Linked DNA regions of Ovis aries. The protein of the gene in region 4 interacts with the protein of the main gene of each other region in a pairwise test. Links are inferred from orthologs where the notes say so. Each region holds a gene or a part of one and is shown on either strand. Other genes may lie near its edges.

Region 1 (3,500 bases), on a different chromosome or scaffold from region 4:
CCCAGGTGCCCCAACTAGTGAGCCCGTGTTCCTCAACTAGAGAGTCTGAGTGCCACAAGCCACAGAGCGTATGCGCTCTGGAGCCTGCACACAACTGCAGAGCCCACGCACTTTGGGGCCCAAGTGCCACAGCTAGAGGGAAGCGCACAGGCTGCAAGAGAGAGCCCAATGGCACAGTCACGACCAACACAGTCAAAACAGTAGTAGTAAATAAATGCAAGAAAATAAAGTTAAAAGTAAGTACCTCACTGGAAGAAGAGCAACTGGAGGACTAAATAATTATAGGAATTAATGAAATATTGTTGAAAGGGAAACTTAATAATAGTTCTTACATATTCATTACAGAGAGAAGTGGAGAATGGACCAGTATTTTAAAATTTCTGTTCTTGAGGAACTGTGAATCGGTACCAAACTTACCTTCATTTTTGCTTGTTCAATAAATCCAAAACATTCTGGAAAATAAGACAGGATATTGGTCTCAGGCAGATCCAATATAGAAATATTCTTATATATAAAGTCATTGAGGAAAGCGTTTTCAACTCCATATGCAACATTGAGAATATGAGTCACCTTAAAGACAAAAAAAAGATAAATTTTTAAAAATTCACATGAATTAGGTTAATTAAACCTAAAAAATTATGTTTAAATAAAATTAAACCTAATTAGGTTACTTAGGTTAATTAATTAGGTTAATTAAATTGAGGTGTTGAGATCTGTAACAATACATAATTTAAGCATGACTCACTCACTTGGGCTTCCCAGGTGGCTCAGTGGTAAAGAATCTGCCTGCAATGAAGGAAATGCCAGAGACATAGGTTCGATCCCTGGGTCGGGTAGATCCCCTCGAGGAGGAAATGGCAACCCATTCCAATATTCCTGCCTGGAAAATTCCATGGACAAAGGAGTCTGCTGGGCAACAGTCCAAAGACTCACACAAAAGTCAGACACGACTGAACACACGCACACTTGAATAACACGTCCTTCAGGGAGCCTTCTCTGCCGGCCTCCTCCCTTACCAGAAGTGCTATTTCTACACACATATTTGTTGTTATTGTTGTTTAGTCGCCATGCCATGTCTGACTCTTTTGTGACCCCTATGGACGGTAGCCCACCAGGCTCCTCTGTTCATGGGATGTCCCAGACAAGAAGACTGGAGTGGGTTGCCATTTCCGTCTCTAGGGAATCTTTCCAACCCAGGGATCAAACCCACATCTGCTTGGCAGGTTCTTTAACACTGAGCCTCCAGGGAAGCCTGTATACTCCTATAGTACCCTCTATGTGCCTTACAATAGCCCTTATCACCTAGAGTTCGTCTCCCATATTGTACTGGAAACTCCACCAGGGTAGGGACCATATTTAGCCTACTCACTTTTATAAGTAAGCATTGTGAGTGAGCAGGAAACCTCACACAGAAGTACTTAAAATATCTATTGAATAAATCAATTAATGTCCATAAAAAAATTAAAGTAAGGGACGTGCATTAGTAGCAATAACTTCCCTTTCAATAATTATTTCCCTACTTTCCTTTTGTATTCTTTGTAAGTACAGTTGTTCTCAAGTGTGGCTACACACCAGAACTACCCAGTGAGCTTTTTAAAAGTTCAATAGGTACACCCTGAATTTTGGATTCTCTGCTGCTTCTGAACTTGGACGGCAAGTCACACCATAGGGCGCTGGGTTTGGTTTCAAGGTGACTGGTCACCCAGTGAGGTTTTAAAAAGCACCAATGCCACAGGGTCTCAATCCCAGAAATTCTGATGAATTAGTCTGGTTGAAAGGTGAGATGGTCGTGAAAGATTTGCTTTCAAATGGCACATGTGAGCAACCTCCTCCTCCATCTACGCATTCAAGCTCCTTTCCTGGAGTCCACCAAGCAAATGCAAGAAGCCATGTGAGAAGTTCGTTAAGAGAATCCAAAGGCTAAATGGATCGGATTCTGCCTCTCCCGCCCCTACTATCCTCACAGGTGTGGCTCTGGCAGTGCCTCGCTCCTTCCCCCAACACAGCTAACTGGATTCCGGTGGACACCTGACTTAAGCTAGATTGATTTAAGAAATTTAGAAAGAGGTGTACGAGACAGTTAGAATAATCCACAAACTCAGGAGCTTTAAGACAGCCATTCTGTATTAAGTGAAAGATCCCTGCTTCCAAATGAGAAGAGCAGATGTGCAGAGAGGGGCCGTGTGCCAGGGGATGGCCTTCTATTCTCTGGCACAGCTACTCTCCTCCCGGCTTCCAACAAGCTCCCCCTGCCCTCATCTCCCCGCCCTGAGATCATCATATGCATTCTCTCTCCTTGCTCAGGTTTCTGTGGTCCACAGCCAAAGGAGTATTGATTAAGATATTCAGGGAACTAGACCTCATGAAGAGAGGGCCATAAGCTGCTTACAAACCTAACTGCCTTGTGGAGGAAAACAACAGAAAAAAACCCTCTAATCTGCTCAAGAGAGATGGGAGAATTCTAGACAGAAGGGAAGAACATTTTTAGCAGATACTGTCTGAAATGTCCTTCTGCTTTCCTTGTGATGGCCTCTCAGGCTGTGTCAAGTTACCCTCCCACTCCAAGAGAACCTCTGGCCAGGGCTGTATGACTCTGCCTTTAATTACATAATAGATATTCCAATGTCGTATGATACTGATGTGTTTGCCCTGTCTTTAGAACTATATTTTACATCCCCCAAAGACCAAAAATGAGGTCTGACCACTTATAGAATATATCTGTATCTATACAGCTTTCCTATCTATCACAGAATTATGAAGATCACAAAATGAGAATCTTGAGGAAACTTGCTGAAAGGTAAAAGTGCTTTACAAATATCGTGGGCTATTAAACTATCCAATGTCTAGGTAATTTCAATTCAGTTCAGTTCAGTTCAGTTGCTCAGTCGTGTCCGACTCTTTGCAACCCCATGAATTGCAGCACACCAGGCCTCCCTGTTCATCACCAACTCCCGGAGTTCACTCAAACTCACGTCTATCGAGTTGGTGATGCCATCCAGCCATCTCATCCTCTGTCGTCCCCTGCTCCTCCTGCCCCCAATCCCTCCCAGCATCAGAGTCTTTTCCAATGAGTCAACTCTTCACATGAGGTGTCCAAAGTATTGGAGTTTCAGCTTTAGCATCAGTCCTTCCAAAGAACCCCCAGAACTGATCTTTAGAATGGACTGGTTGGATCTCCTTGCGGTCCAAGGGACTCTCAAGAGTCTTCTCCAACACCACAGTTCAAAAGCATCAATTCTTTGGTGCTCAGCTTTCTTCACAGTCCAACTCTCACATCCATGCATGACCACTGGAAAAACCATAGTCTTGACTAGACGGACCTTTTTGGCAAAGTAATGTCTCTGCTTTTCAATATGCTATCTAGGTTGGTCATAACTTTCCTTCCAAGGAGTAAGGGTCTTTTAATTTCATGGCTGCAATCACCATCTGCAGTGATTTTGGAGCCCAAAAAAATAAAGTCTGACACTGTTCCACTGTTCCCCCATCTATTTGCCATGATG
Region 2 (2,384 bases), on a different chromosome or scaffold from region 4:
GAATCTAAAAAGAAATGATACAAATGAACTTACTTATGCAACAGGAAGAGACTCACAGACTTAGAAAAGGAACTCATGGTTGCCAGGGGGAAGGGATAGTTAAAGAATTTTGAAAGGCCATGTACACACTGCTATATTTTAAATGGATAAGCAACAAAAACCTATTGTATAGCACATAGAATTCTGCTCAATGTTATGTGCCAGCCTGGATGGGAAGGTGGTTTGGGGGAGAATGGATACATGAATATGTACAGCTGAGTCCCTTCACTGTTCACCTGAAACTATCACAACCATTGTTAATCGGCTATACCCCAATACAAAATGTTTTTGGTGTTAAGAAAAATGAATAAATAAATAAATATTTCCTTACTGGAAAGGAAAACAAAACAAAAAACTTTACAGTGTGATCTCCTCAGAGGTGAAAATTGTTTATTTCCCCTCTCACTCCCAAAATAAAATAATATTCAGGTTGGAAATAATTATTTACAAAAAACAATATATAGAAATTAAAACACTTTAATATAATATAAACATTTACAGAATATAGACTGATTTTTTATCAGTACTTCTTGAGAGAACTCTTTAAAACTATATATCATCTACATTTATTATAGACTGTTTCATTTCCCACTTTCAGAACTAGAAAATACAAAAATACACTGCAAATTATATTTAACAAATGAACAAAAAATCAATCTAAATTGCTTCACGTATTTTCCTTGGAGAAAACCAAGAAACATAAACATAATAGCAATTAAAAATACCACCAACACTAACACAACCCAAACAGAGGATGGATTCTGATGCCTGCTGATTTTCTCATTTAAAATTAATTTTCTCCCATAGGTAAATAATTCACTATCAGAGCAACTGGATGATCAGGAGCAGAGATAGTCTCATCAAGATAAATTACTTTATACGCAGGAAATATGTAATTTTTCTTTCATGTTAAGAAATGAGGAAAAATAACTTGAGGAAAAGGCATATTGAATACTCTTACTTCACTTGGCTTTTGTTAACGGTTAAAGTAACTGTTCACTTAGGGAAATTCAAATAACATGAATTTCATGAAACCAAACTCTTCAACTTATTTCATCAATTCAACCTTAAAGAACACAACTGAAAAGTTCAAAATCCAGGAGAAGACTCGTCCTAAAGCACTGACATGTTTATCTTTTAACTGGCTTCCTTTTCTCTTATGTTCTGACTGTGTTCTTTTGTTCTTCTCTCTCAGAGGTGAGGTTTAGGCTTGTTTGTCTCTTCTTTCAAGTCAATTTCAATTTTTACACACAAAAAACTAAGCTTTCTTGAACTGACACTGACTGTACTCACCTCTCTTTTTCTTCATTGGATGTTTCTGTCTTTGTCTAAATTCCCCCATTCTATTTCTCTTGGGGTAAACAAGGCTAAAAGTTTAAAATCCAAGAATAGACTCATCCCAAAGCATTTCCTCTTCCGTCTTTTCTTCAACAGATTTTTTTTTCTCTTTCTTGTGCTTACGTTCTTCCTTCTCAGAGGGTACACCACGGCTTTTTTTCTTTTTTCGATGCTTAAGCCTTCCTGAACTGACTCTGAATTTATCTCCATCTCTTTTCCTTTCCCCAGTGCCCTTGTGCTTGTCTAGGTCTGTATCCGCATAACTCTTTTTTCTTTTATGCTTGGACTGCTCCTTCTCTGGCCTTTCTTCACCTTTCTCCATGTGCCTTCTTTTCTTCTGATGTTTCCGCTTATGACCTACTTGATGCTCACTGGTATCGTTTTCTGAGGAGAGGTGCTTATAAACTTCAGATTCTACACTGTATGTGCCAGAGTTATTATCCTGCTGACTAAGGCTCAGGGGTACTGGTTTTTCTGGGAAACAGTCTCTGGTGGGTTGACAGTAGGTCACAGAGTCTAATCTCTGTTTGCTGTCATGAGTTGGTAAAGGATGAGGTAACTGGTTTTCTTCTGCCTGTGAAATACTATATGATCCTGGGTAAGCCTGGAAATGGAAAGTCTCAAATGGGAGTTTTTGCTCAAACATTCTAGGTCTGGGTCTGGAATCAACCATTTCTCTGTGCTTATGGGTTTCTACAGAGCTATCACTTATCTTTCTGAAAGAAGTCTTTGGCTCTAGTCCTCTGGCTTTCTGCACTTTGATATAATCCTCAAGTTCATCTTGGAAAGAGTTATATGTCCTCTTCGAAGGAGCTGGTAACCAGTGATATACTTGGCTTTCCACTGGTGAAATAGTGTATGGTCGTTGGTAGGTCTGAGAAGTCTCAAATGAATATCTTCGTTCACACATTCTTGGTCTGGGTCCAGAATAAATTTCTCTGTACCCATGGGTTTCCACAGAGCTCTCTCTTTCCTTTCTGAAACAAGTCTTTGGATCTAGTCCTCTG
Region 3 (3,989 bases), on a different chromosome or scaffold from region 4:
GTACTGGGGATAAATAAAAAGGTTATTTTTAACATGTTTGGGGTGAAGTTTAGGAAAATTTACAGAATAGTCAAAATTTCTCAAATTCAGCTGCAAAATGGCTGAAGAGTGAATACAGAAAAGTGAACCACATTCTACAGATCTCTCTGCAGTGCACATAACGAAAATTGCTTTCTTTCAAATCGGGTAAAAGAATTTGGTTATGTCAATCACAAAGTCGACTTTTTTCCTTTTCTGCTATAGTAAGACATTTTTAAAAAATGGCCCATGGGATATGTTTAAGGTAGACATGCCACAGTAAACTGAATTTATATCAATAAACTGAGCTTGTGTTCTCTAACTCTCCTATTAGCATCTCGGAAGACAGCTATTAAACTGTAGCCCCTTGAGGCTGGCCAGGAGAAGGGGACAAGAAGGAAAAAGCCACCATCTAAGGAACTGAGAAGGGGAAGATCCAATATTTATGATTTTTTGATTTGCCTGATGCTTTTAGCTTCCATGTTCTCCATTAACCAATTGATTCTGTGAGAAGGTGTGTAACTTGACTGAGGTCAAAAGGCAGCTAACAAACACCAGTGCCCCGGCATTGATCTTTGGCCTAGGCGAGCCCACTAAAAACACAAAATAAAAAATAACCCCCAAAGCAACATCTTTCCCCAAACACCTTTCCCTTCTACAGGGGTTTATCAAGAGGCCATTTGTTAGGTGGGTCCAACCTCGTCGGGACGGCAACCTTGGCTCTGCAAACCTCTCACCAGGCTGCAGCCTGGTTAAAGGAGAGACCACACTGCACTGGCCAGCGGCCAACACTGCGGGCCCGTCGAGGAGCACCCATTGCGCGCTCTGGGAACTGACGTCCCAGATTCCCCGCGCAGGTGCGCGCGCACCTGTCGCCTGCCGCGTGCGCGCTGCGCGTGGTGGGGCGAGTCGGGGGCGGGGGAAAGGAGGATGAGGTCCGTGCTCCCGCGCGTGCGCCGGGCAAGGCTCCCCCGTACGTGCGCCGTACGTGGGCGCTGCGTCCCCGCGCCCTATGAGTTGCGGGCCGGGAGTCGGCCCCGCGCGCCAAGTGGGAGTCTGGGAGGGGCGTTTCCCGGGCGGGCGCGGCGCCCCCTGGCGGCGGGCGGCGGCGGCGGCGGCGCGCGCGGTCAGGCGTTCTCCGCGGGCAGCCCGCGGCGGGGCCTTGCCTCCTAGCGCGGGGTCCTCGGCGGCCTGGGTGGCTCCTTCCCCCGCTGCTGTCGTAGGCGCGGACGGCTGCCAGTGCGACTGCAGTTGGCTCGCGGCGGCGGCGGCGGCGGCGGCGGCGGCCGAGGCAGAGGGGCGGGGGGTGGGGGGGCTGAGGCGACAGGCGAAAGGGGCGGCGGGCGCGGCGGCGGCGGCGGGGCCCGGGGCCGGCGGCGGCGAGGGGGGCGAAGATGGCGGACGTGCTCAGCGTCCTGCGACAGTACAACATCCAGAAGAAGGAGATTGTGGTGAAAGGGGACGAAGTGATCTTCGGCGAGTTCTCCTGGCCCAAGAACGTGAAGACCAACTATGTGGTTTGGGGGTGAGTCTGTTGCGGCGGGGGGCAGGGCTGGGCGCCCCGGGGTCCCCCTCTCTCTCTCCCCGAACCCCTCCCCCCCGCTCCCCTTGCGGGTTGAGGAAAACGGGTGCTCCGGGGAAAAGTTTTCCCGGGAGCAGAAGTTGCAGCTCGTCTGTGAGGAGGGCGCGGGAGGAGCGGCGTTCGGAGGGGTCCCTCCTCCGCGGCTCCGTGTGGAGGTCTCTGCCCCTGTGTGTGGAGAGCCGGCCGGGTGCATAGGTGCATATAAAGGAGCGCCCCGCCGGGTCCTCGGGCGGCTCTTTTTGTCCTTTAGTTGTTGTTTTTTAAAATCTCTCTCGGAGGCTCTTCTGCGATGGTCTCTGCTGGCCCTTTGCAGCTCCTGGTCGGTTCCGTCTCCTTTCGCGATTCCCTCAAGCAGAGAGAGAAGGGAACCCACTCCGTCAGGTTAGGACGGGTAAGATTTCGGCGACCTGGGACAAGTCGTCGGAATCTGTTGGAGGTGAAGGCAGGGGTCTCCCTCAGGGAGAAAGTTCCTGCTGAAATGAAGTCAACTTTGCCATTCTAAGTGGGGAACGAATAGAGTGTGCGATTGTGTGGGAAATGTGTGTGAAGAGTGTGTGTCTGGGAATGTTGATCCCAGTGAGGGTTGCCCGAGTGTAAGTCCTTAAGGAAGACACCCGAAGGGAGATCTGAAACCTACACGGGAAAAGTATCTGAAAAAGAATAGATATATGCATATGTATTTCAAAAGAAAAATAGGTCTGATCATCATGAGGGGCTTTTTGAGTGAACCCTTCCTCTCTCAGTGGCGTTTCATTTGGATAGCTAGAGCCCTAGACGAAAACTTTCATACTTATTTTGCTTGATTGAATGGGAGCAGTGGGCTTTAGGAAGAGTTGATGAAAAGCTAGGGGAAGTTTAGTTCCTTGGGTTTTATTTATTTAATTTTTTTGGCATCTTGGGCTGCTTATGGTTTAATTAGCTTTGTGCAGATGGGTAAAATCATTCTGAGTTTTCTGGTTTTTTTTTTTTTTTTTCCTTTCAAAAGGAACTTGCACAGGCAGATTTACATTTTAAAAACAAATTAACAGCTTATGTGATGAAAAGTCTATTTGATTTGGGGAGTAACAAGCTGGAAGAGGTTAGGAGTCCTCTGCCCCACACATTGTGTAGGAGCTCAGCGCTGATTGGATTTTTAACTGATTGGTTTTTCTTTAAAAAATGGTTGAGTATTCACAGTGTAAGGCTGTTCAGTCCCAGAACTGGAAAATATTTTGAAAACCTAGGTCGGTGCCTCAAAGGAGGTTATCTCAATCAGAGTGGAAGAGATGACACATAACTTGATAAGAATCGAATTCCAGTTCCTAAAGAGAGCAATCACTTCTAACTTGGAAAGTTTTCATAGAAGTGTGTTTGGCCTATGGACATGCTAGGTTTTTCTTGAATAAATGAATGAACAAATGTTAAGGAGTGGATAGGAATTCTGAGGGCGAAGTAGTGGGCTAGGTCTTTCCAGCTGAGGGAATGGCATGCTTAAAGACCTGAGAGCTGGAAAGGAAATGTTTTGATAGCTGAGTGAAGCCAGTAGTAAGAAAAGAGTGCTTACAACAGTAGATTTCAAACTTTTGCAGCAGTGAATCACACCAGTACATGTATTTTGATTGAGTGTTATTCTCTGTGTTTAGGGAAATGCACACATATGCATGACATTAATATTTACCCTTACTGAATGCAGTGCATCCTGTTGTTTTTTTTTTTAATATATCACGATATCACGAAGAGATACAGCTTGTTACTCATGTATTATCTACTTCATAATACAGTGATTGATAAGTGATATGTGGTTTGAAGTATATTGATTTAGGGAAAAAGTGGAAATACAGCCTAGAAAAATAATTGGGACTGATTATATTGGGCCATATTCAGATGAATTTAAACAATACGTTGATATTTCTAGATGGGGAGAATGTAATAGGACAGTGGGATTGGACACTAACATTTGTTGAGCAAGTAGTAGTATGTATTTGCATGAAAGGGCTTGCACTCCTGGATGACTGTTTTATCACAGGTAGAATTAGTTTTGGTTTTACATCACTAGTTTAATTTGAGAGAAGTCATAAGAATCATATCTCTGAAGTTAATTGTAGTGTTAAAGAATGTTGGTAAGGGTGTTTTCTCAGCAGAATCTTACTTAGAAGACATGATAAGTTTCTTGTAAGTTTAGCCTAAGTGACTAGTATGCTTCTTTTAATCAGTTTGTTTCTCTTATGGATCCTTCCTAACTGATTAGGTTTCTCTATTAACAAAGCCCAGAAGCTAATTTGGACCAAATTCTAAGAAGTCTGTAGTAATAAAGTTTGAATAGTACTTTCCTTACCTCTTGCTTTTTGTCATTGTTTGCATTTGTGTGCCCAAATGACATTTTCACTTATTAGATTTCATGCTCTTAAGA
Region 4 (2,255 bases):
TCAAAGATTGCATGTATACAATGGAATATTACTCAGCCAGAAAAAGGAACAAATCAGAGTCTTTTGTAGTGATGTGGATGGACTTAAGAGTCTGTCATACAGAGTGAAGTAACTCAAAAAGAGAAAAACAAAGATTGTATATGAGCACATGTATGTGGAATCTAGAAAAATGGTACAGGTGAGTCTATTTGCAGGGCAGGAGCAGAGATGCAGACGTGGAGAACGGGCATGTGGCCACCACTGGGGAGGGGCTGCTGCTGCTGCTGAGTCGCTTCAGTCATGTCCAACTCCGTGGAGGGTAGGACGAATTGGGAGATTGGGCTTGACATATTACTACCATGTGTAGAACAGATGGCAAGTGGGAAGCTGTGGGATAACGCAGGGAGCTCAGCTCCGTGCTCTGTGATGACCTAGAGAGGTGGGACGGGGCAGCGGGAGGCAGACCGAGTTTAAAGGGATGAATGACTTTTTGATTCAGTAGCCAATAAAAAGAGGAACCCTAATTTAGACAAGAATTTATTTTCTGGACTACATGTTTACCATAGATTAAAATTAATATAATTTAATTCACATACAAAGACAACTGTGGAGGGACTACCTGGATACAGTGTGACTTGGGGTAGGTGGAGTAACTTAGGGCACAGCACATTCAGGCCTGAGCAGATACCAGCTTGCTCATACCGGAGAAGTAGGATTTCTCTCTTTCGCTCATCATTTCAAAATGCAGTGGCCTCCTGCAGAAGTTGCACTCGGCTGAGGAATGTGGCTTGAGTTCCAGCCCAACTCGCTTCCATGTGGCCAGCAGATGATCTGTGAGGAGCAAGTTTTTTTAAATTAGAGGAAGTACATACCCAGGACAAATGGACAATGATAACTTTTACACAAGTGTTCACAGCAGCATTCTTTTTTTTTTTCATAATAGTCAGAAAGTAGAAACAATCCAAACATCCACCAATTGATGGATAAACAAAACATGGTATATCTGTACTGAGGAGAATTATTTGGTAGGAACGAAGTGCTGATTCAAGCTACAACGTAGATGAAACCTTGAACACACTGTGCTGTGAAATAAGCCAGGCACAAAGGGCCATATACTGTACAACTCCATTTCCATAAAATGTTATGTACAGGCAAGTCCACGGACAGAAAGTGGATCAGGGCTGGGATGTGGCTGCTAAGCGGTGTAAAGTTTCTCTCTGAGGTGATAAAAACGTTCTGGCATCAGAATGCTGACGGTTGCACAACATTACTTCAAAGCCACTGAATTATGTGTTTTGAAAGGTTAGAATTTGTTTTATCTGAATTCTATCTTAATAGGCTGTTACTTAAAAAGTAGAGAAAACCCAGGTCTGGCTTTACTTTACACCCTTCAGAGAAGAAGTCGCTCCCACATGGCTGCACTGTGTGGAATGGATCATTCCTTGCAGGGGAGCCCGAAAGGCTGGAGGCAGGGAACCACCGTGGGTGGCGGTGGAGGCTCAGGAGGGCAACACACCTCCGAGGCAGAGGCAGCTATGAGTTTAGTCTCTGCCTTCAGCTGGACGCAGGCGGAAAGGCCTGCGTTATACAGAACTATGAGAATATGAAATGCTGAACAGAAGGGGTTAGGTGTGTAGTCGGTTTTCAGAGAAGAGAGAAGTGCAGAGCTGAGCTCTGGAGGCCCGGGCAGGCTTAGGCTGTCAGAGGCATCTCTCCTGCAGCAGCCACCACTGGGGGTCCCTGAGCCACACAGACAGAGGCATGGATGGGAACAGTGAGCGGACAGCAGGCTCCCTCGGTGCTTCCCGTGAAGTGGAGCGAACGACTAACTGTCTTTCACACTTCTGTACCACCTGAGAATATTCTTAATTACTTGGAAAAAGAAGAGACAAATCTGAATGGCTTGAATTATAAATGCTGCAGACAGCTTCACGCCACTCTCCCGCGGGGCTCTGGCGGCTCCCTGGCTACTCACCCACGAAGTAGCTCATCATCTGCGGTGTGTGGTGCGGCGTGGGGGCGATGCGCAGCAGCTCCTCGCCCCGGGGCACTGTGGGGTAATTGATCGCTTGGACATAGATATTATGTCTAGTCATTAGTTCATCACAGACCTCCGTGTTTTTAGCAGCATCTGCCACCTAAGATTGATAATAACAGAAGATAAGGCTGGAACCAGACAGCAGAGACTAGTCACACGCGTGTCCAAGTGGCTTGGGCTCGACCTGCATATGCAAGCCTGGCAGAGAGGCTGCCCCGACACCTGCAGTTTAAAGGGT
Region 5 (3,500 bases), on a different chromosome or scaffold from region 4:
CTGCAACTACAGTGAAGTGAAGGCAGAAAGAGAAAGACAAATACCATGCGATATCACTTACATGTGGAATTCAAAATTTGACACAAATGAACCTGTGGAACAGAACCATGGATACAGAGGATACACTGGTCGTCGCCAAGGGAGAGGGGACCGGTGGAGGGATGAGGGAGGGGTTAGCAGATGTAAGCTTTTATATACAGAATGGATGAACAAGGTCCTATTATATAGCACAGAGAACTATGCTCAGTATTCTATAATAAATGAAAATGGAAAATATTTACATTTTTTAATATTTTATGTATAAATGAATCACTTCACTATTCAGCAGAAATTAACACAACACTGCAAATCTACTATACTTCCATTTTTAAAATCTTGATTAAAAAAATAAACATGTTACTTGTTAAAACTATTACAAAAGAAAAAAGTATCTAGTTTCCAGCCTTATAAAATTCAAGGGACCAAACCATGAACTTTGGTAAACAAGGAATGATAAAAATCATAAGTCTTGGTTAGAAAAAGGAGCTAAAAAGCTGGCAGAAGTTTTAAAGTTATGGAATTTCCTTGCAATAACAGAATCTAAAATGTTATTGAAAGACAGAAAACAGAATTACAACACCAAGGGAAAAAATAGCCTTGATATAAAAAACAAATTTGAGACGATTTCCCAGAATGAAAAAGAAATCATTACACAGATGAGGCACTAAGATGAAGAAAAATTTAGACATTCCTATAACTACAACATAGAGAATTCAATTCTAAACATCAAATCCCTAATACTTTCAATATTCTATCATACTGTCATATTTATATGTCATATACATATATAGTCAAGGAATTTTGTCAGCAAATCCAATATATGCAGATATAAATTTACACAAAACTAAGTTTATTAGTTTTACAAAAAATATCACCTTTAGGAAATGAGTCCATTAATCAAATATGCTAAGACACAGACTATATCAATCAACTCAAAATTCCAACTCAATACTTCTAGCTCACTGCACAAAGTTTTCCCATAGCATCTTTATAATGAAATAGGATAGGCAGTAGCAGATTTAATGAAGTTTATCAGCAGAGAAGCTTATCAAGACTGCAATGATAAAACACAGCACGTGAAGCCAGAGAGCTGGCTTTAAATTATTATCGTCTTAGCAAATTATTACTAATTAAAACTCCTGAATCCTACTTTCCTTACCTGCTATCTGACTTTTGAAAATTCAGTGAGCCACTGTTTGCAGAAATGCCCAATGCTAACACTCAGTAAATGCTGCTTGGGATGATCAAGCAGATCAATGAACAAGTGATAATACAAGATTTTCTCATTTTCTAATGCCCTTCCAAAGAAAACTGCCTTTAATTTGATATTTATAGTATCTCAAATCATTTTTCTGGTACCTAAACTAACTGCAGATGCTAAAGCAGGTACTAGAAATGTTAAAAGGGTAGCATCAACCCTATTCAAGAAAATTATCACACTAACCCTCCCCAGGTAAGATATCACCTATAATTATACTGACAGTGCTGTATCTGTGATGCTCTAGAGTTTGTGTCTATGTTATCACTGAGGTTATCTTAAGCATATCTTAATATAGAGAACCATTCAAGGATTTCATGTTTACTTTTACACCGAAGTTCAATCTACTGCTGACTGTATCAGCTTTGACTACTAATTAATTTAAAAGGGCAGGACTTAGCAGGTTTCATAACTTAGGCTGGAAGTTCAACACCCTGCTTTTGTTAAGTAACTGCCGTGCAGCTACACATGTGACTACATTCTAGGCACGGTGGTGGTTGTCAAGGAAGTAGAAATGAACAAAGTCTAGGCTGTGGTCTCCCAAGGTCTCTTGGAACTCACAGTAATTAAGAGCAAGATGATATTAAGGTCCACCTGAAACTGTCACAACATTGTTCATCAGCTCTCCTCCATTATAAAATAAAAATTTCAAAAAACAAAATGAGAAGAAGGTAATGGAGCTAATTTGCTTAAGTATTAATGAGGGTCTCTGACAGGAAGAACTGGTTAATGTGCCTAGAAAACTGCAGCTTTCACGCCTGTACAATGCCTAGGACAGAGTATACCAGTACTGAAAAGGGTAGGTTTTAATACCTTAATATCTTCCAGGTATTCAATGTCTGCAGTGCAATATCCATCTTTCATTCCTCTTTTTAAAACCCTAAACCGCTTTCCTCCAACGGTATCAACCACAGACCGTCCATCAGGCAAGAAATGTACATTTCTAATTTGTAACATACAACCATAATCTGCAAAACTAGAAGAAAAACTCCAGTTAGTACCAAAAGTTCAAGCCACAGACATGCACGTTCTCAGCAATATTCACAGAAAACTCAAGAATCAATAAAAACATTTAGACAAAAAGCATACCTATTCTGTGCATCACTGACGCACATCCCAAACTGTTTAGTTCCAGTCTGTATACTTCTTCGAATCATCAATCTGTATCTTGGCTCAAATACATGAAGAGGGCAAGGCACAGTGGGATAGGCCATAGTGCAAACAAATATTGGAACATTCTTGGTCAAGCTGAAGAAGAAAAAAATTGCATTATTATATATCAGAAGATACAACAAAAATGAGTGAAACTTTCAATAAATAGTAGAAAACAAAAATGTACTCTAAAATCAGGTAATTTTCATTCTTGGCAGGAATAAGAATCAACATCCCCTTCATTTAAGCTCATGTTGATACAATATTAATCCTAAAACTGTCTGCAATCCTCTTACAAGTAAATTCAAATTTATAAAGTTGTCATATAGAGCTATGTACTTTTATGAATAAAAAAGCAATTGATTGTAACTATTTTATATTAAAAATGTTTAAAATATTTGTAACATGACAGTTATTATCTTCTATCCATAAAACACTCTTACTCTTAGACAACAATAAGTGAGCTCCTGCAAAGGACAAAAAACATTTTAAAAACTTTGTAGTCACTAAAATATTTCCTTACTAACAAAAGCAGGTAATTCAATGGCATACAATTTTTTCCAGATAATTAAAGTGAAACAGTTTCATTCCCAGATTGGCAGGAAATATGAAGGATAAAGGCAGTGCTCAGTTTCTCATTAATCTAAAGAAACCCTTTGGCAAGGGTATGGGGGAAAACTGGCAGTTGACGGGGGCAGTTTGAAATAGTACAACCATACTGAAGAAGAATTTGGCTACATACATCAAAAAAATGTTTTTAATATTCATATCCTTTGAATCAACAGGTGTGCTTTTTTCTACAAGTATTGTAAAAATGTTCAATGTGTATAGTAGCCAAAACTTAGAAGCAAAAAGAGCCAACCAGTAAAATAAATTATGATGTAACCATAAAATGAGATACTATATTTAGACTTTAGATTAATGAGAAAAGGTATTAAATAATAGTAAAATAATCCCATATTTGTTTATAATGTATTTATATTAAAATTAGGAAGGACATATGCCAAAATGCCAGTGGTGATTACCTTTGAGTTACAAATTATGACTGTAA
Region 6 (3,500 bases), on a different chromosome or scaffold from region 4:
GATGCCCTCTCATGCCTCCCACCGTAACGGCCAGCCAGCACCTCCTCTCACAGCACCACCATTAACCTGGGCCTTTTACTCTGGCCCTGGGGAAGATAATCTCAGACTAAACATCTGAGGTTTCCAGACAAAGATGCCAAGATCTCTGCAAATATCCCTTTCAGAGTCCATTCACTAAGTGCCTTATGATCAGCAAACACCTGCTAACTTAAGTCCTGGTAATCATAAGGTAATAGATGTTATCCTAAAAAACTGAGATTCTGGTTAAATAACCTGGCCAAAGTTATGCAGCAAGTAAACAACACAGTGGGCATCTGAAAAGAGATGAGCTCCAAAGCCCTGTTCTTTCTATCCCACGCTGCCTCCCCAAGTCCCTGCTAACGTGTATAACTGCTTACTGAATGTGGCCTTCTCTTGCCTTTATTTCTCAGGAGAGTGGGTGGGGTAGTGCAGGAATTGCAAAATCAGATCTCTTCAAGGGCCACCAGAGGATGTACGTGTGTGAAGAGGCAGAGGAAGGGCAACTGGGAGTGGTGGGGGCTGTGTGCCACACCCAAAGGCTTCCCAATTCAGATTTTTAAACAGGGTGGCCACCAATGTCACTTACTTGGCTCCAAATCCAGGACCTGCTGCTATGAGTTATAAGAACCATGGGCTAGTTACATAACAGTCTCAGTGTCACCATCTGTGAAATGGGTTATAAGACGCCTCCCTCACAGTGAGCTTTCTCACTCTCAACAGTCCTGTGCTTTCATACACTGAGCCCGTCCCTAACCACAGAGGAGGCGACCATGCCTTAAGCTCCCAGGCCTGCTGGGTGAGACCAGAAACCAAGATCATCAGCCCAAAGATGCTCACCCTGCCCACAACCCCTCGGCCTCGCACTGTCTCCAAGGTGCCGGACAGACTGAATATCCTCCAGTGTCGCTCCCGGAGCTGAACCACGTCACTGTCGAGGTTCTCCAAGCGGATGCAATAGCGCCACTGTGGGAGCAGGGGAGAGACTTCATGTCTGAGAAGGAACAGAGCCTGGGCTCGCCCCCCGGGGATTCTGAGAGCAAAGGGCAACAAAGGCCAGTACCTGCACTGCACGGGTCTCATCTCCCACCCCAGAGGTAAAGCCCCCACCTCCCAACCTGCCCCCACAGGCACGCCTCCTGAGCTCCCCTCCGCCCGAGATTAGACACTCACCCAGTAGACGTGGGAATTCTGGGCTTCCTAGGGAAAAACAAACACAAAGAATTTCAGTCCCCAAGGGTAGAAATTCCAATCAACATCTCTCCAGTGGAGCAGATGTATTCCAGGACGGATGCAAAGACAGAACAAAACCACAAGTATCTTGATGACGTGCTAACTATGGCCAACATGCCCAGAGGGAGGCAGGCTCCCTGGGCCCTTCTCTGGCCTCCTTCCTCCTCATCCTATCAAGATCACAGAGCTGGATGAGAACAGAAAACAGAGGAGAGGGCCCTTCCCTCTCACCACTCTCCCCATCAGACGCTGCCCCTTCACCCACCACTGCTGCCCAGGCTGCTGTCTTCTCCTCTGCCTTCCCACATCCCAGCAAGATAACAACACTTGGAAAGCTGTAGGCTGGCCTCCCCCACTATCGTGAGCTCCTGAAAGGCAGGTACAGTCTTTCAGTTTTGTCTCCCTAAGACCCAGGTTACAGCCAAGCAAGAAAGAGCTCAATAAATTTATAAAATGTGGGAAGAGGAACCTATGGTGATTTAAATAAGTATGTGTATGTTCTTCATAATCATGGCTCCCTTTGAGCCAGAAGAGGAGAGAGTCAACCTGGAGGCCTCCTTCCTGGGATCTGAGAGTTTCTTTGCTCTAGGTCTTGGTGTCAGCTCTTGCCAAGAGGGTGCTCGACCCCAACCAATACATGCAGCACTGGAAACCAGAACCTCAGGCACATGGTTTAAACGTGGGGACACCACACAGAACCTGGGGGCCCGGCCCTGAGGGAAGGTATCAAGGCTCGGCACCTACCCTCATGCCCATGTAGAAGGGGATAACAGTGACACGGATATTCTCCGTTGTTTCCCGGTGGACATCAGAGAGCTCCAGCCAGGGGTGATTCTTCTCCTGCCAGGCCCGTAGTGTCTCCCGAGCCACAAAAGGGGGTGCTGGGGCAAGAAATGACTGGTTAGACCAGGCCAGCGGCCAACTGTTCCTCTTATAAAATCCTTCCCAGTGATGGTCAAGGTATATAAGACACGTGAGCAAAAGCAGCACAGGCTGGAAGAAGGCACAGGGCTGCCTACCAAGAATAAGCCCCAAGGAGGAATATGACGTCAGGGGAAGAGAAGTGGCCTGGGAGTTAGGAGCCCTGGCTCTCAGATCTCACTCTGCCACTACCTAGCAACCTTGAGTTGCTCTCATCATCCCTGAGCCATCTACCTGACAGGTCTAAAGGGAGGTTAAATCAAGTTGTAGAAACAGCTCTGAAACTGCTTCTGTGACACTGTCTTTGAAGAAAGGGCCCTCCCATTCCAGCTTCCCTTTATGACAGAGGGTACCTTTTGTCTGGTCATACAGAAGAAATCTTTCAAAGAGCTCATGCTGGATAGGAACCTGATCAGTGGAGGTGTAGGGGAGGATGTCTTCATGGCTGACATAATCCAGGCCTGGCAGAGAGAGAGAGACAGAAAACTCATGGAGGAATGGGGAAGAGTGGGGCTGAAAAGAAACTCAATTTCTGGGCCTTGTCCCAGGGTGGGACAACCCTCGCACCAAGGCTCTCAGCATCTACACACCCTCCAAAGCAGATTCAAGGACAGCAGAAAGGCACTGGAATTCTCTTCCTGAGACACACCAGACCCCTCACCGATGGGCACCACTCAGACGGTCATAACTCACCTGGGATGGCATAGAGGGCCCGGCTGTCGTCGTGATTAGCCAAGAAAGTCACAGCTTCTGTCTGAGATCTCTGAGACTAAGGCAAGAAGCAAGTCATAGGTTTGCTCGGTCACTATCCAGTCCTGAGGACTTGGGGCCCAGTGCAGTATGGAACTGTTGGATCCCTCTCCTTCTCTTAGTCCCCATCAGGATCTTAGTCCCATCAGGCCTTCCCTATGGAAAAGAACCCCAGGCACAGCCACCTTGCTTACTTACTATATGTGGACAGTCTCGGGCATCAATCAGCACCTGGTAGTAAGTGTGAGTTTTGCCTTTCACCTCCTTCGAGCCATGGCCGGCAGGGTTCTCTGCTCTATGAGGCAGGAGGAAAAGCCGAAGATCAACCTGAGAAACAGAAGCGGGGCCTGCCCCAGCTCCCTACCACCCCCTCACCAAACAGACCAGTGCCTGAACTGAAGGGGCTTAGCAGCAGCTGGGCAGATGTTCAGCATGCCCTGGCCCGACGCTCCCCAGTCAGGAGCAAGCAATAGAGTGTGGTGAAGAGTCATCGTTTATCTTACTTTCTGGATGCCTCTTTAAAAAAGGGTCCAAGCTGAGAAAATCATACTGCTGCTTCAGTCCCTGGAGCCCAGAGC

What was found.
Region 1: the proteins of ALAS1 (region 4) and DUSP19 interact in a two-hybrid assay, tested with the Homo sapiens proteins (3 studies listed by BioGRID and IntAct). The two-hybrid records come from large-scale screens. The link is inferred for Ovis aries from reciprocal best matches to the Homo sapiens genes ALAS1 and DUSP19.
Region 2: the proteins of ALAS1 (region 4) and ZMAT1 interact in a two-hybrid assay, tested with the Homo sapiens proteins (2 studies listed by BioGRID). The two-hybrid records come from large-scale screens. The link is inferred for Ovis aries from reciprocal best matches to the Homo sapiens genes ALAS1 and ZMAT1.
Region 3: the proteins of ALAS1 (region 4) and CDC73 interact in a two-hybrid assay, tested with the Homo sapiens proteins (3 studies listed by BioGRID and IntAct). The two-hybrid records come from large-scale screens. The link is inferred for Ovis aries from reciprocal best matches to the Homo sapiens genes ALAS1 and CDC73.
Region 5: the proteins of ALAS1 (region 4) and LONRF1 interact in binary tests that used the Homo sapiens proteins (3 or more experiments, as listed by UniProt). The two-hybrid records come from large-scale screens. The link is inferred for Ovis aries from reciprocal best matches to the Homo sapiens genes ALAS1 and LONRF1.
Region 6: the proteins of ALAS1 (region 4) and POLDIP2 interact in binary tests that used the Homo sapiens proteins (3 or more experiments, as listed by UniProt). The two-hybrid records come from large-scale screens. The link is inferred for Ovis aries from reciprocal best matches to the Homo sapiens genes ALAS1 and POLDIP2.

The regions. Positions count from the first base shown.
Region 1 is NC_056055.1:126,672,976-126,676,475, forward strand, and holds part of DUSP19 (dual specificity protein phosphatase 19), read right to left. Parts: intron 571-3,500; coding exon 418-570; intron 1-417.
Region 2 is NC_056080.1:133,489,718-133,492,101, forward strand, and holds the end of ZMAT1 (zinc finger matrin-type protein 1), read right to left. Parts: coding exon 1,415-2,384; 3' UTR 501-1,414; downstream 1-500.
Region 3 is NC_056065.1:11,318,998-11,322,986, reverse strand, and holds the start of CDC73 (parafibromin), read left to right. Parts: upstream 1-1,189; 5' UTR 1,190-1,412; coding exon 1,413-1,543; intron 1,544-3,989.
Region 4 is NC_056072.1:48,760,344-48,762,598, forward strand, and holds the end of ALAS1 (5-aminolevulinate synthase, non-specific, mitochondrial), read right to left. Parts: intron 2,118-2,255; coding exon 1,955-2,117; intron 811-1,954; coding exon 650-810; 3' UTR 501-649; downstream 1-500.
Region 5 is NC_056079.1:23,431,124-23,434,623, reverse strand, and holds part of LONRF1 (LON peptidase N-terminal domain and RING finger protein 1), read right to left. Parts: intron 2,546-3,500; coding exon 2,387-2,545; intron 2,274-2,386; coding exon 2,111-2,273; intron 1-2,110.
Region 6 is NC_056064.1:19,778,719-19,782,218, forward strand, and holds part of POLDIP2 (polymerase delta-interacting protein 2), read right to left. Parts: intron 3,218-3,500; coding exon 3,121-3,217; intron 2,942-3,120; coding exon 2,866-2,941; intron 2,634-2,865; coding exon 2,526-2,633; intron 2,133-2,525; coding exon 1,996-2,132; intron 1,219-1,995; coding exon 1,192-1,218; intron 985-1,191; coding exon 859-984; intron 1-858. UniProt on the Homo sapiens protein: Involved in DNA damage tolerance by regulating translesion synthesis (TLS) of templates carrying DNA damage lesions such as 8oxoG and abasic sites.